Nothobranchius furzeri: one gene and its partners. The protein of the gene in region 2 interacts with the protein of the main gene of each other region in a biochemical or structural test. Links are inferred from orthologs where the notes say so. Each region holds a gene or a part of one and is shown on either strand. Other genes may lie near its edges.

Region 1 (4,258 bases), on a different chromosome or scaffold from region 2:
CGATGGTCCATTCATTCGTCCCATCGCCCAACCTTAATCTCACTTACAGCAAACCTGATCTGATGTTAACCACCACTTTCCACATCACACAACCCAAACCCTCAAAGATATTTTTTATTTGCTCCAGTTATAAAAACACACCAAGCCGAGTTTCACCAGTTCGAAAATCCAGTTGAGTGACGTAACTGTTCATGTACAAATCTAATTTGCACGGCAACACCACTACTAGGTAACCAAAACTAAATTTTATGATAATACACAAAATAACCCAACACTGAGGCGAGCATCGCTCAGTAGCTGTCTGAGAACGTTCACCACCTGAACTCGAACCGTCAGACAGATGCTAGATACCAAACATCATGACTGTCTGCTGAACCAAAAGCCCCATTCCCACCTGTACCGGGTCGGCCCGGGCCGGGTAGCGTAGGTTGTTTACATATCTGGGTGGCCTGGAATTTTCCCGGGCCAACCAAGGCTCATTCTCGGCCCTCTTCCCGAGGGGTACTGCTTCAGGCCGACCAGGGCCAACACGCCCACTGCTGACAGCAAATTCACACCTTCCATTAGAGCAAGCCTCTGATTGGTGGGTAGAATCAGCCCACATGGGCTTAAGGCAAGGATGTGTGGAATCAACCGGGCCAGGCTGGGGCCGACTGGGGCTACCCGGCCCGGGCCGACCCGGTACAGGTGGGAATGGGGCTAAAGACTGACCGCAACGTCGGTTCCTGAGGGGGATGAGAGGCTAACACACACACACACACACACACACACACACACACACACACACACACACACACACACACACACACACACACACACACACACACACACACACACACACACACACACACACACACACACACACACACACACACACACACACACTAAAAACTACAATCGTTCTATCAGCACAGCAGCATCCCGGTACCTTGGCAGGCTGGGGTGTGGAGAAGTTAAGCCAGGCAGGGACAAAGTCATGCTGCGCCATTTAGGTCCAGTGTTTCCGGTCAGTGGATCGAGGCATCAAACCTCATGGCCAGGATCTGTAATTAAATCCAGATGTTACAGTTTTAACAGGAGTTACAAATATTTCAATTTCACGACGAAACAAGCTCCAGGTGCTGAAGCTGCATAAAGCTTAAAGAGCAATTCACCCCCAAATCAACTTTTTTTTTGCTGATAAACTATATAAACGAGTGTCTAATTGTGCTGTGGACGCGAGCGGTCGATAGTTTGACACTTTAACGCATCTTAGTTCAAATTTAAATATTCTGCATAAAACTGTCGGTGTTGTGCCGTTGTCAGGCACTGCATTTGAATTTGAATCTGCCACCGCTATTGGCTAAGAGGTACCACTATGACGTTAGTTGGTACCATATGATGTCACAATTTTTCTTTGAACATCTTAGGTGTGTTCTTGCTGTGTCGTGTCTCTAATTCCATGCTGTAGTTCTTTTTTAAAACACAGAGCGGTTTTGTTTACAGCAGCCGCAAACGAAACGTAGCGGGAAAACAGGTAAACAAAACCGCCGCAAATGAAACGTAGCGGGAAAACAGGTAAACAAAACCGCCGCTAACGAAACGTAGCAGGAAAACAGGTAAACAAGACCGCTGCAAACGAAACGTAGCGGGAAAACAGGTAAACAAGACCGTCGCTAACGAAACGTAGCGGGAAAACAGGTAAACAAAACCTCCACTAACAAAACGTAGCGGGAAAACAGGTAAACAAAACCGCCGCAAACGAAACGTAGCAGGAAAACAGGTAAACAAAACCGCCGCAAATGAAACGTAGCGGGAAAACAGGTAAACAAAACCGCCGCAAATGAAACGTAGCGGGAAAACAGGTAAACAAAACCGCTGCTAACGAAACGTAGCGGGAAAACAGGTAAACAAGACCGTCGCTAACGAAACGTAGCGGGAAAACAGGTAAACAAAACCGCCACTAACAAAACGTAGCGGGAAAACAGGTAAACAAAACCGCCGCAAACGAAACGTAGCGGGAAAACAGGTAAACAAAACCGCCGCAAACGAAACGTAGCGGGAAAACAGGTAAACAAAACCGCCACTAACGAAACGTAGCGGGAAAACAGGTAAACAAAACCGCCGCAAACGAAACGTAGCGGGAAAACAGGTAAACAAAACCGCCGCAAACGAAACGTAGCGGGAAAACAGGTAAACAAAACCGCCGCAAACGAAACGTAGCGGGAAAACAGGTAAACAAAACTGCTCTGTTTTAAAAAAGAACTACAGCATGGCATGATGTCACAATGCTGTTGTGAGCCTGTGTGTATGTGTATCTGTTAGCGGCTCCGCCCTCTCGGTCTGCCAGGCAACAACGTTTGTTGCATTTTTCAAGCATGCAGTGGGAGGGGAGTAAGACCCTGGTAGGGGGTGACTTGCTCTTTAAGCACAGAATCAAAGGCTTTTACAGAACAGACCTTTTCCAGCATACATGCATTATTTATAGCTCTTTGTGTTGATGGTTTTTAAGTTTTTAAAAGTTGGCCGTTGACCCGGTTCGTTTCAGGACCGCCGGGGTCGAGCCGTGTGGGTGTGAGTTGGTGAAATTACCCAGAGTCTGTGGCTCTGAAGTCCTCTGCCTCCTCGCCCGCTCTGGCTCAGCTCCTCAGGCCCGTTGGCACAGATCACAGGAAGTGTGCACCAACAGATGGGGAGCAGCACACAGAAACCCCCCCACTCCACCTCCACCAGGACAGAGCAGGCCCTCTCTCCAGAGGCGGATGCCTTCGTCCAGGGTGAAACGGTTTACGTCCAAAAAAGTTGTTGGAATGATCTGAATGGTGACCCACAGAACTAAAGAAGACCTTTGATGTAGAAGCACAGAGGTCTACAAGCAGCAGGTTATAATGTCTGACCCCGGATCGCAGCAGCTCTTCGATCTCCGGTCGGGAAAACGTTCTCTGCTGGCAGGTTTATTCCTTCAGGGTTCTGGAAGCATTTGCTTGTACTGTGCACAGGCCCACTTTGACACCAGAACCGGGAAGAGGCAGGTGCTGTCCTGCCACCGTGTGTCAGTACACTTCAGAGCTGCTCTACCTTTCACCGAATCATTTTAACATCTAGCTGAATGCATGCAAAAAAAGAAAAATGAAGTCTTAGACAGTCTGTTACTGGCAGCAGAGGTCACCTAAAACCACAGTTCACCTCATTAAACTGGTGAAGAGACAGTCTGGGTTCAAAAAGAACAACGAGCAAAAAGTTCAAAGTCACATGACAAGGAAGGAAATAAAGCCCGATGTTACATCGCTGTGATTTTCAGTTCAGGTTAGTGAAATGGACACGCTCCTGTCTGGTGCATCATAACCACATTTCTGTCTTTGTAAATTACACGATCACATCTGTAAGATTCCCATTTAATAAATGCCAATTTTGTAACCGGAGCAGAGAGAGAAGTCACCTCAGATTTCATAGACATAAGGGGTCAAAAAGCCCTCAGAAACCTCGTTTAGGATCTGCCACACTCGCCCAAAAACAACAAAACAAACTCTGGTGGCAGTTGGGTTTGGGGTAAAAATTTCAAATCGAAAACCAGCATGCATCCAAAATGAGTAAAATGTCTGTCCTTTAAATAGTTCTTTACGTCTCCACAGGAAGTTTCAGTAAAGGTTTCACTTGTCGTGTTGACTATTCACTGATGTGTGCACGAGAGAAGACTGGATCTGCAAAAAACAAAAACAAACAAAACACGTTTACTTGATATACAAATACTAACTGTGCATTCTAATTAGGGCCCGACCGATATATCGGCCGATATTGGGGTCATCAACAGTATCGGCTATCGGACAAAAAGACGGCCGATATGGCCGATTTTGCGCTACCTATCCAGCAGATGGCGCCAGCTTTATGAACTCATGTTGTGTGGCTCCACTCCTTTGAACTTTGAACACAAATTATTGTTTTGGAACTTTTTAGTTATTTATTCTTATTTATGTTTCTTATGTACAATTATTTCCTGTCCAGGGTGAATAAGTTCACCAAGTTAACTTCCACAGGGTGTTGCTTTGTTACAAAGCACAAGTGTTACGTTTTATTTATTGCTGCATTTTTATTATTTTAATATTCTTATCGGGATCTTCTGTCCCTAAACTTGTGTGTGTTGTTAGATTCTCCAGAGTTAGCGAAGTCAGAAAAAGCCTGTTGTAGCCAGCTGTTTTAGCATAAAGCAACGGAAGGGAAGGCTTGCATTCACCTACATAAAAAAACACAACAATCTATGTGAATTCACTTACATTGTTTT
Region 2 (3,500 bases):
TGAAGACGTCTGGATATTCGTGGTGTTGGTGTCAGGTTTCTTGGGTTTTGGCCTGAATGGTTACCTGGCTTACCGGAAAATTAATGAGCTGTCGAGGAATACTGGCTTAATCCTGGAGCTCAGGGATGGATTACACCGTGCTGTGAATGCACAAACTCATATAATTGTCCAGATGAGTCGTAAGCTTGGAACTTTGGCTGAGATTCAGACTCTGGCACAGAAGGTGGATTTGATCAAGGAGAAAGTTGACGGTCCAGCATGGATTGGGACAGATTAATTATGCCATTATTGGATTTAGAGGAGTTGGAGACCAACAGAACTTTAAGACAGAGAGGAAATTATCTCTGTCTGGCCCCAAAACAAGTTCTTATCTGAATCTGGTGAACTTGAGCCTGTGAGGCTGAAGTGACAACTCCCCCTCAGAAGAAATGTGGAATGCTGCCATCGCCATGGCAACTCTGTCTTCCTATCTCAGCCTGGGTGGGACAGCGACCAGTGAAGGCCGTTGAATCGTTTCCAGGTGTCACTGTGCTTTCTAAACCCAACTACCTCCCTCCCCTTTCCAAACGGAGGTGACGAGCGCTGCTTATTGCGACTGCATGCACTGATGTGTAGAGAATCCCCAACCCTACCTCCCCACCTAGTGGACACTTATGTTGTGTAATGTCTGAAGTCTGTTGCATTTCTGTTTGAGGTGTTTTTTGCATAGCAAAGCTGTCCTCCCCGGGGAGGGTAACTCTGAAGTGCATTTTTTTCCTCCACCTGACTCAATCCTCATATATAAACCCCTCTGATCTCTATTAAGGTAGAGCGACCGGGGTTGCAAATGACGACAGTCACCAATTCTTGTCATGTGTCTATGCCTATGTATGTATGTCTGACCTCAGAATTGTGTGTACTGAAACTCTAATTTCCCTCTGGGATTAATAAAGTATCTTTGAATTGAATTGATTCATTAGGCTCAAATGGGGAACCACATCGGGTCTCCAGCACCAAAGCGAGACGATCTAATAATGGGTCTCAGTCTGCGAACCCCTTTCATGAACTGAACGGCTAAAGGGTGACCCAGATGCCATGCGCCACCCTTCCCGCCTGGGGATGATGGAGCGTAGCACCTCAGTCTGCTTCCGCTGGGCCTCGAAGTTCGTCTGAAATGCGTTGAGGGACTGACCAAACAGACCACAGGGTGAAACAGGCTCATCCAGGTAGTTAGCCCTGTCCCTGTCGGGGACTTTAGAAAGGGTCAGCCACAGGTGTCTCTGAGCCACTATAGTTAAGGCCATACCTCTTCCCAACAGCAGGGCGACGCCTCGGGCCACTCGCAGGATGTAGTCCGACATGACCCGTATCTCACTGATGAGGGGGGTCAGTGGGCTGTCGGTGGGACCCTAGCTCCAAGGCCCGCCAGGCAAAGTGCTTGGTAGGTCTGGAGCACGGTGGAAGAGCTGAGAACGCAGGCAGTGGAGGCCTGCACGCAGTAAATCTTCTCCAGTTAAGCAGCTGAGAAGTAGCATGGCTTGGAAGGTAGATTAGTTTGTCCATTAACTCCATTATTGCAGGTCGGAGCCAGGTAAGCCGCGAAAGAGGGCTCCATCGGAGGGAGGTTAACCAATCCTGCCATTTCTCCGCTGTCGAGGTCTGAGAACTGACTGTAACCCGGGACCGTAGTTTGGGGGTTGATAGCGGCTTGGCCCAGCATGCTGTGAGCTCAGCCACAAAATCCGGGTACAGTGGCAGAAAGTTCTTTACCTCCGCTGATTCCGAGGGGAGGTAAAATCCAGAGAAGCAGGACCTCTTTTGTGCAGGTGGAGGAGCGGGACAGTCCACTTCTAGCCTTCCCGCTGTACGCCGACAGAACGGGAGAAAAGAAGTGCCATCTCGGAGCTCTTTGGCTGAAGTAGCGGCCGGAGCTGAATACTCCACCGCTGAGAGGACCTCCTCGTCCTCGAGTAAGTCCTGACCGTCGCGGCAAATGTCCAAAATGTCTCCATCCTCTGCCAGAGGTGGAAACTGAGAAGCGTCTAGGTCTGGTCCGGTTAAATTGTCCGCCATCTCTATCTGATCTGCCCAGCTAGTAGCGGGTACTTCGATCACTAGGCTGTCCACGTCAGAGCCGGGCGAAGCCGGGGCCAAACGGGAAAGCATGGGGTCCTGCTGCGAAACTGCAGCGTCTCCCAGTAGACGTTGTAGGAGCTTCACGCGCCGTTCAAGTGTGGGACGGCGGAGTCTGAGACAGAACTCACACGCCTCCAGGTCCACAAGCGCTGTCCTGGGGTGGAGAATTCCCAGACAAACTGGGCACGCTTTGTGTAAGTCCTTCTCGTGAAGAGAGAATCCACAGCCCTGAAGACAGGGGCGTAAAGCGACGTCCGACACGGTGCTCATTGCGAGACACACAGCAGAATGAAGAGGAGAAGCTGAAGAGCCACGAAAGATAGCGCTCAGTGGGTGGGAATGCTAGCCAGAAGGCAGTAGAGTCCAGTCAGCGAGCGGTTAAGCTATCTTTCAATAGCGCAGCTAGCTGTCAGATGTGTTCTCAATGAGGTGAAGAGCGTAAGGACTGAGGAATGACAGTGACGCGGTCGCTTATAAGTGGAGGGCGGGGCCTCCGTGTAGCGTCACTTTCATTTGCCTTACAGGCGTGATTAAATGTGTCTTCAGCCAGGCCACTCGAGGGCGTGATGTCCCATAGTACCTTCGTTGTACCGAGGGAATCGACTGAAGGGGAACCAGCTGAACTTACCCCAGAGTGGAAAGTCCAGGTGGACTGAGGACAGCGGCGACACACCCCTTCAACTGGTTTTGATGCGACTGCATATTGATGATCATCACATCTCCTCCACGCCTACCAATCATCACACAGAACAACAGTGAACACTTCATTTACTCTGAACCCAGAACAACATAAAGTCAAGTTACTGAAGGGGCATTTGTTTATTTATGAGCTTCGCTTTGTACAGAGCTTCTGATGGTTTTCAGTTTGGAGAAATATAGCTTTTTAACAAGTAGGTAAAATAAGAGATGGGTCCCCCAAAGACAAAGTTTTCAAATTAAAATCTATTTGTAGAGGACATGAAGTTGAGACGTTTGTTTGAAACTCACCAGCCTTGCTTTATAAAGACCAAAAGCCAGTAAACAGGAGTGACCCAGAATTTTGTTCTTGTTCCACTAACAAGCCATGGCATTTTTGTTTTACTACAATATCAAAGCTAGAGGCTAACATTGAGCTAACAATGCTAACAGTTAACCTAGAAGCAAATAGTTGTCTGTAAAAATGTCTCAAGCTCCTTTTTCAGTTACCAGACCCTGGTTATTACAGTGAAATGTGCTTATCCACTCATCAGATTATGGTGTCTGACTCTTCTTCACTCATCATCTAGAATGGTCTGGTGCTGATCCGTAGCTAGCAACAGTCATAAAACTGTGAGAAAGTGACTTGTGTGTTTAGAAAAATGAACTGCAGTACCCACATGTGACCACAGGATGTAATTCTTACATAA
Region 3 (4,054 bases), about 50 Mb from region 2:
GTGCCAGCCTCTCAGTCACCGGTGCCAGCTTATCATTTATCAGATCAGTAGTTTGCTTCGGAATTTATATAGCCTCCTGCTGCTGGGCAGTAGTCTTAATTTTGGCCCCCATACCGCGCCATATTTATAAGCAAGTTTACATAAAGACTGAAGCTTCAAAGACACCATTACCTGTGTTCCACGAGTATGACAGATTTTTTGTTGCAGCCTCCATTTTCATCACTTTGTAGACTCAGACCATTGGACTGCTCCAGGTTCTCCAGCAATAAATCAATATTATCAGGTTCAATTCTCTAAAAAAAACAAACAAAAAAAACAATTCTACTGCTGTTTTTCTCCAATAGAAACATGAGGTTTAGTAAAATACTGATTAATTTATGTAAGATGGTGTTATAGATTACAGCAATAATAATTGGTAACAAATATTAACAACACAGAGTAGGTCTAAGTAAAAATAATGCAGCTGTCTTGTCGAGTGAGATAAAAAACTGTACTTTTCCATCTTCTGATGTCACTTTTTTCTTCTTTTTCTTCTTCTTTTTACCTCTGTCACCAGACTGTTAAAGAGAACCGAGACAGAACTGTTTTAGTCAGTCTGGAAGGTGATAAGGTATGCAGACATTCGGAGGTGGACCAGAGGTGCTCGCAGCCTCGCCTCTGTCAGTGAGCTCCAGGGCAGCTGTGGATACATTGTAGCTCATCACCACCAGGGTGTGAATGTGTGCATGCATGGGTGAATGACTGATTGTGTTGTAAAGTGCCTGGGGGGGGGGGGGTCCTAGGACACTAGAAGGAGCTATTGCAAAACGGGCCATTTATCATTCCTTTTGTTACGTCTTTACCTTAGCGGATACTCCCTCTTGGCTTTGAGCTAGCCTCTCAATTCCTCTGTTGTTGTCACTCTTTGCTTTCTCGCTTTTTTCTGCTCTTCCTGGTTTTTCTGCCTCGTCATCAGGTGGGATTTTCTCCACCTCATCAGCGTCACATATCTAGTTAATTAAAAAAAAAAGTTTACAGGGTAAAGAGGTGACTGAAGTAATAAACAAGTGTAACATCACAATAGAAATTATCTCATTCTGATTTGTATCTTAAAATAATATTTTCCCTTTTTAAATAAAACGTTTTGCATATGTTACCAGCATGTAAAAAAGAAGACTGACATGCAATAAAAACAGTAAATAAAATGGAAATATAACTTCATATAAGCCTTAGAACATTAGATATAAAATTTATCTTTACTAAATTATTCTACAAAATTTAAAAAAGCATAACATTCAGTAATGAAAACACAGATCAGGAAATATTCAGAAAAAGCTCCACTTGTGTAGAATTTTGTCATTGAAAATAAGCATTCTGTTATTAACCCTATACTCTGTTATTAACCCTATACCTCTGCAGAACTTTCTAATGATGTCTGTCAGAGGAAAAAACATGAAGGAACTATTATGAAAATTCAGGCTCAATAAAGTGATAATATGGGAATAAGAGTAATTTTTTCTAACTGAGAACTGGAAAATAAGGTTGAATTAACAGCTGTGCAAACTGTGTAAATATGTGAATAAAGAGTTGTTCCTGTTTCTAATTCACTGGGTATAATTAAATGTGTCTGTAAACTGTTTTTTGTGTTGTGTTACAACTGTAATCATCCATTTAACTTAATAGCTCCTAAGAAAAGTGGGTAAATTATTTTAGAAAAATGTGGTTTTAAAGGTTCCATATGAGGCTATTTTAAACATCTGAGAGCAAAAGTAGGCACAGCGTATGATTAAAAATTACCATTGGATGTCATTTATTTTAAATACGAGGTTTTTTTCCACCCATCAGACTGAATTTATACCCAGAAATAAAACTCCTCTTTCAGTGAAACTTTGCCAACACCCACTCTGACAGAATGTGCCTACAACTGCAGAGGTTAACGCGTCCAGCCCAGCACTCTAACCACTGGACTGCCAAATCTGTTAGATGACACCAGCAGCTAGACACATATCCTGTGCTGGCCAGGGGGAGACAGGTTTCAGACCAGAGACTAAACTTCCTGGAGAGGAGCAGGGCCTTATGACGAGGTTATCTAACAAGATTTTCAAGGTAAAACTCAAAATTTGCAGCTGAATCAGGAAAATGCATGAATGCCGCCAAAAATGTGTGTGTATTTTATTTCTTGTTATATTTTTTATGAGAAAATAATACCACATGGTAAAAAGCTCCAAAAGTGGATTTTCCATGATATGGCCCCTTTAATTCTGAGACAACTTTATAACTTAAAAAGCTAGAATGTCTCTGATTCTGGAGTTTCTTGTAGGACAACGCTGTCAGTGGTTTTCACTTGGTTAGCTAACCAGCCAACAACTTACAGCTAGCATCTGAGTAAACAAGCTACACAGAGCTGATGTAAACAGGAGAAAAGCACCCGTCACTGTTATGGACAGTTTCTGAAATATCACTATCTTACCAGCTCAAAGATGTTACTTGTGTTTTTCTGAACCTTGTTTTTCTTCGCTTTTCGACTGTTGTTATTAATGTTAGAAGTGGAAACATTAGCCGACTCGTGTGGCACTTCCTCGGTTTCGACTTCAGCCTGCTCCTCCGGGCTCTCTCCCAGATCCCCCAGGTCCAAGGCCTCCTGACCCCGCTGCTTCCCTCTGAGCCTCCGCAGAGCCCGGGTTGACATTCTGAACTGTTTAAAACTCACCCTAAATTCAGTAGTTTGATTAAAATCGTACCTTTGGTGACTGAAAGCCAACACTGAATGAGATTATAGAAAAAATGTCTGAATTTTCTTCTTCGTGTACTGTTGTTTCTTCTTCTTTTGAAAAATTACCTCCTAGACCTTCTACACTGCCCCCTGAAGGCTAAAATAAATAGTACCAAAATAAATGGTATGCTGCAGCTGTTGACTCCGATTTTGTAATTAGTGGGTATTCTTCTTTGTTTTTTATATTACCAATAAAATGGGAAAACTCTCGTGCACAAATGTGAAATATTCCACATTTTTCTATTCTATACTTTATTTTGCTATTTTAGACAGACAGAGAAACACAAATACCTTTTAATAAACAGATTATATATATATATATATATATATATATATATATATATATATATATATATATATATAGTGTGCATGTTCATATATGAATATGAATATGCACACCACCATGATGAAAACTATAATGCTTGTTCAGTACATGCATTTTAAGGTAACTATGGTCAAATATTGAAGACAATCAAATTATAAACTAAAAATGTAAACATAACACATAAACAAAGACCATGTAAATAAAAGAAGTGATGCCAAATCATCAAAACAACATATGCCAATTACAAAACAGGCAAAACCATAAGGACATGCTTTCAGTTAAAGACCAAAACTGTGTTTGGAACATGTAGTATAGATATGTTTGCCTACAAACATTCTGATAAAATAGCTTTTAAAACATGCATACGTTTGAATGACTGATATAAGAAATAAGTCATATTGTCTTGTGTTTGTGGACAGATTTATTCTGAATGAAATCTACTTTATAAACTACTTTGTTCCACCAAACTTTTACTTTAACAGTCTTACACAACACTTCCTGCTCACCAACTGTCATCAAAATATTGTATGTGACTAGTTCCTTGTGCTTAGAATAACAGTTGGGGAAAACACAGGAAAATGAACTCAGACTGTATAAAATGTTATACGTGTTGCAAACTACTTACAATTCTTGTATTTTAGTGCTAGGTCTCATACCACCCCAGGTTGATTAAGGAAGCACCTGTTATTTCCCAACAGGCTGTAATTGCTTGACTAATCAGCTGTGACTACAAAACCCAGAAACAAATAACTTTAAGACTCAAGAAATGGAGATTGAGCTGCTGAACCTGTTTGACTTGAAGACATATAAATACATACATTTTTTCCCTCAAAGGAAACTTATGAAAACAAAGCCAAGGAGAAGAAAACAGGCCCGAGAGGAGAAAGGGAAATTCTGAGTTACTGAAATACTGTTTTTGCCAAAGGGGGAAGTTGCAAATGTCGCTTCTTTAACAATTTCAAAAAGGGGAAAATAAT
Region 4 (4,026 bases), on a different chromosome or scaffold from region 2:
TAAACTTCCACCTTCTCCACCGCTGTATGTTTTCCTTCCCGTGTCTTTTCTGTGTCTTGTAAAAGATTTGCATATTTTATTCTAAGGCCATCGATCTCAGCTTGTAGTTCAGCAATCTAAAGAAAAAAAAAGAAATGACCGGTGATTAAAAACAGTTTAAAGTTTTCAAACTTTCCATGTTCTAAAATATTCAGAGATTCTCTTTAACTGTTATTGAACAGCTAATTGAGAATGAAAATGCCCAGTTTTAGACAATATATCTGAAAAAATGTCATTAATTCAATTTGAAGAGCATTTTTATCTAAATTATTTTCTAAAACTAGAAACGAACCTGAAGCTGGCACCGTTCAGCTTGATGTTTCTTCTCTTGGGAGATGATTTTCTCCTCGACGAGTGCCGACTCACAATCAGTGAGCTGGTGCTCCAGCCGAGCCACGGATGCCCGCAATCAGAAAGAAACCAACGTTTAAATCGTAGGATAATAAAAAACGAGAAGGATCTGTTCAGCCCTCAGTATGATTAAGCAGCAGCGTGTGGTTTCATATAAAAGCATGTAGCAGCCTTTGTGTGCTCTGAAACATCTCCTACCTTGAGCGCTGCATTTCGAACAGTCAGTTCTCCGTTTTCAGCGAGGATTTTTTCAGACTTTTGCATCTTCATCTCATGAGCTGCAGAGAGCTCATCTTTCTTTTTCTGCAACCTCAAAGTCAAGTCTGCAACTTGACTTTGATACAGAACAAATCCAGTCCATCAGTAGGGACTCTGAGCCAACCCAGCTGCATACTGATGACTAGTTTGCATGATTTGGGTTGATAAATAACCAACAAACCTTTTCAGGACGTCTATGTGAGCGAGAAGTTTTTGTTTCTCGTCTGTCGCCTGCTTTTTCTGCCGTCTTTTGGAGTCTCTTTGTAAATGTGCTTCAGCCAACTCTGCATCCTGACGTTAAAACAAAATCGAATGTCACACTCGAGTCTTTACAACTCATATTTTGTGATGTTGAACTCATACCTTTTCCTTCAGCTGTGCACGACATTTGTCAATCGCAGCTTCAAACCTCTCCGTCCTAAGTTTTTGTGCCCGCGTCGCTTTCTTGAGCGATTCTTTGTCTTGTGCAGCTTTCCTGGTCATAGAGGCAATGGACGCTTTCAGCTCATTGATCTCCATCTTTTGCTCAGTTAGAGTTCTCTCCAGAGTCTAAAAAACAACAACAATAATGTTATTCTACATTAAATAAAGCTTCCAGAGGGTCAGCTTTAATGAAAGGGTTCTTACCCGTAATTGGACAGTCAGGCGACTGTTCTCAGCGTCCTTGTTGCGCAGCTGCCCTTGCAGGCGAGCGTGCGTCACTTCTGCCGACTTGGTCTTATGAACTCCACTTTTAATGTTCTTCTGAGGGAGCAAAACAAATGCTTTCTAATAAAATTAATTTCAATATTTTATTGATTACCTAGTGTTTTATGTGCTTACCTGCTGGTCTCTCCTTGTATTCATTAGCTCCTCGATCCTCCGCTCAGTCTTGTTCAGAATGATTTGTAAGCGCTCACGAAAGAAAACATGAGCAATAAGGTATAATTCAAGCATCACAATCCATGTTTGACTCAACTCCTGACTAATTATATCTTCTCCCATCATAGAATATGATATAATAAAACATTCACCTCATTTTCACTTTCAGCTTGTGTTATCTTCTTTAATAAGAGGTCTGTCCGTTTCTTTTCAGTAATTCGATTAACCTGTATAAGGAATTCATTATTAAAGCAGGTAAAGTCAAACTTATTACAATTTATATTTAGAGAAAAATTTTAAGTCATTTTTTTTTGCATAAATTCAACATTTAAAAATCCACCTCTGCATTTTGGTGTAGTTTTAACTCCTGTCGCACAGATTTATTTATTCGTCTAAAATTCTCCAACTTCTCCAGCAAAAGTCCTCTCTGCCTTGTGATTCCACGCTTGTCTTTGGAAGACGGTCCCAAATCCTGAATTGAAAGAAGATGTGATTATTTACAGACACGGTAAATGCTCAAACCAAACAGAAGAAGGTAAAAATTGCTCTTAATCATACAGTAAATTCATCTTCTATTGCATTTTTGAATGAAGCAAGTTGTATTCCTGCAGAGTTGGCAGCAGCTTCTGCATCAATCAGTAGTTTCAGAAAGGTGTGCTTCTCTTCAAAGCTAAATGAAAAATAGGGATGTGAGAAAATGTTGTAAGCCTTTTAGCTCCAGAGCACATGTTTATAAACATGTGTGTTTTCTCTGTGACCTGTTTCCTTTTTGTGGCTCATGACTGTTGTCTAGGTCACCACGCCTCAGAGTGAGATCATCACTGGTGGAACTGAATCCAGGAAAAGGGGAACTCTGGGGATCACCATCCTCTGGAGACATACCCCCCACTAACAAAAACATAACATAATAAACAAAATAAAACAAAGTGTTAAATCACTAAATATCCTGATGGAAATTCTATCTCATATGCTTATAAGATCGTTTTATTACACTTTACAGCCAATTTGACTTGAACCAGGAAGCCAGCGGACACCCAAGCTAACATGCTGTACTCCATAGCAACGGACAGGTTTGACTAAGCCGTCGTTTAACGCGTGTTAATTTGCCGAATAAGCTAAGTCACTAACAACCACGTGGTGACTAATGTAATTAAACTTAGTACATTTCAACTTTAAATCGTATATTCTAGAAAATTCTAATATTACTCACACTTTCGCTTTGTTTCTGTTGTAAATAATACCACTTCAACTGGGGAGGCAGCAGGGACGCTCAAGCGCGATTGGCCATCTTCGAAGTAACGTAATGACGCTACATGTTTTTCCCATCACTTATTGGCTCCTCGAGGCAAAGAGGGGCGGGACTACGTTTGATTTTAATTTCAAACAGCCAATGGACGAAGAAAGAAGGGGAGCTTGGTTGAAACCATAGAAACGACAAGGAAGTCTTGTAGTCGGAGAACATAAACGTAAATAAGCTAGTTTAGTATACTTTTATTCTTTTAACTTAAAATACCACACACATGTTTCTTTAAAGACGTACTTAGCAATTTATATTCACGCTGAAACGTTGATTTTCTTAGGGTTCTTAAAGCTAGCGTGATAGCTAATGCTCGGCTTCGGAAATGTTCAAAGTAAAAATACTCTTTGTTGGACCTACCGAGGTAAGTAAATGAACGTAAAACGTATATAGATGAGCATGTATTGTTAACTTCTTTAGTGATCTCGGTCCTCGAGATGTCCAACACGTTTGAGTTGATTCCCTGCTTCAACACACCTGATTCAATTATCTGTTCAACAGCTCATCATGCTCTGCAGAATCACCTACTCGTTGAAATCAGGTGTGTTGAAACAGGCAAACAACTAAAACATGCATAATACCAGCCTTCCAGCACCTTTACCCCAGTTCTAGTGTAAACTATTTTATGTTTATCTCAGTAGCACTTCAGCTAATATCGAATTCATATATTTATGACAGTCTAATAACCTTGTTATGACGGTGTATGGAAGCATTTAAAAGAAAAACGCAATGCTTAGGTTAATGAAATCAAAACTATGCTATTTTACGAATAAAGACCTTTTGAAAGTTTTTAATGTGTAAAAAGTAATTTGTGAAAAGACAAAAAGATTGGATGTTTTTGAATTCAACTAAATACATTTTATTTGGTTACTCGAGCACACTTTAATTGTACCTCAGCTATTTCCATTTTCATGTCACACCGGACATGTAGTACAAATAAAACTCAGATGCTTTTCAGCACCACTGGTCAGTTCATAAACATGCTTATATTGTAAAATGTGAGAACTAAACATATCTTTAAAGTGATCTATTCCTTTTTTCAGAGTGGGAAAACTGTTCTTGCCAATTTTCTCTCAGACATGACAGAAAACGTGGGCGGACAGTACCGACCTACTAAAGGAGTCAGGTACAGGCTGTTTTCCTTTCATTACCTTTCATTCAATGTTATTACCTCATATACATATTATACTAAAATGATCACATTCACTTTCTACTTGCTC

Evidence for each region. The genes of interacting proteins can lie anywhere in the genome.
Region 1: the proteins of lrrk1 (region 2) and gpbp1l1 form a complex in vitro, tested with the Homo sapiens proteins (2 studies listed by BioGRID and IntAct, with this or other methods). The link is inferred for Nothobranchius furzeri from reciprocal best matches to the Homo sapiens genes LRRK1 and GPBP1L1.
Region 3: the proteins of lrrk1 (region 2) and tcf25 form a complex in vitro, tested with the Homo sapiens proteins (2 studies listed by BioGRID and IntAct, with this or other methods). The link is inferred for Nothobranchius furzeri from reciprocal best matches to the Homo sapiens genes LRRK1 and TCF25.
Region 4: the proteins of lrrk1 (region 2) and outer dense fiber protein 2 form a complex in vitro, tested with the Homo sapiens proteins (2 studies listed by BioGRID and IntAct, with this or other methods). The link is inferred for Nothobranchius furzeri from reciprocal best matches to the Homo sapiens genes LRRK1 and ODF2.

What each region holds. Positions count from the first base shown.
Region 1 is NC_091751.1:68,336,091-68,340,348, forward strand, and holds the start of gpbp1l1 (vasculin-like protein 1), read right to left. Parts: upstream 2,801-4,258; 5' UTR 2,572-2,800; intron 1,044-2,571; 5' UTR 989-1,043; coding exon 929-988; intron 1-928. UniProt on the Homo sapiens protein: Possible transcription factor.
Region 2 is NC_091749.1:7,391,616-7,395,115, reverse strand, and holds part of lrrk1 (leucine-rich repeat serine/threonine-protein kinase 1), read right to left. Parts: intron 2,846-3,500; coding exon 2,744-2,845; intron 1-2,743.
Region 3 is NC_091749.1:57,592,672-57,596,725, forward strand, and holds the start of tcf25 (ribosome quality control complex subunit TCF25), read right to left. Parts: upstream 2,801-4,054; 5' UTR 2,669-2,800; coding exon 2,450-2,668; intron 990-2,449; coding exon 843-989; intron 558-842; coding exon 495-557; intron 294-494; coding exon 172-293; intron 1-171. UniProt on the Homo sapiens protein: Component of the ribosome quality control complex (RQC), a ribosome-associated complex that mediates ubiquitination and extraction of incompletely synthesized nascent chains for proteasomal degradation.
Region 4 is NC_091751.1:48,584,992-48,589,017, reverse strand, and holds the start of outer dense fiber protein 2, read right to left. Parts: upstream 2,801-4,026; 5' UTR 2,720-2,800; intron 2,580-2,719; exon of another isoform or gene 2,561-2,579; intron 2,398-2,560; 5' UTR 2,390-2,397; coding exon 2,268-2,389; intron 2,180-2,267; coding exon 2,068-2,179; intron 1,982-2,067; coding exon 1,850-1,981; intron 1,737-1,849; coding exon 1,662-1,736; intron 1,543-1,661; coding exon 1,471-1,542; intron 1,393-1,470; coding exon 1,276-1,392; intron 1,198-1,275; coding exon 1,012-1,197; intron 940-1,011; coding exon 830-939; intron 725-829; coding exon 590-724; intron 444-589; coding exon 332-443; intron 117-331; coding exon 12-116; intron 1-11. Other genes in the region: ift22 (intraflagellar transport protein 22 homolog), read left to right, coding at 3,132-3,170, 3,850-3,932. UniProt on the Homo sapiens protein: Seems to be a major component of sperm tail outer dense fibers (ODF).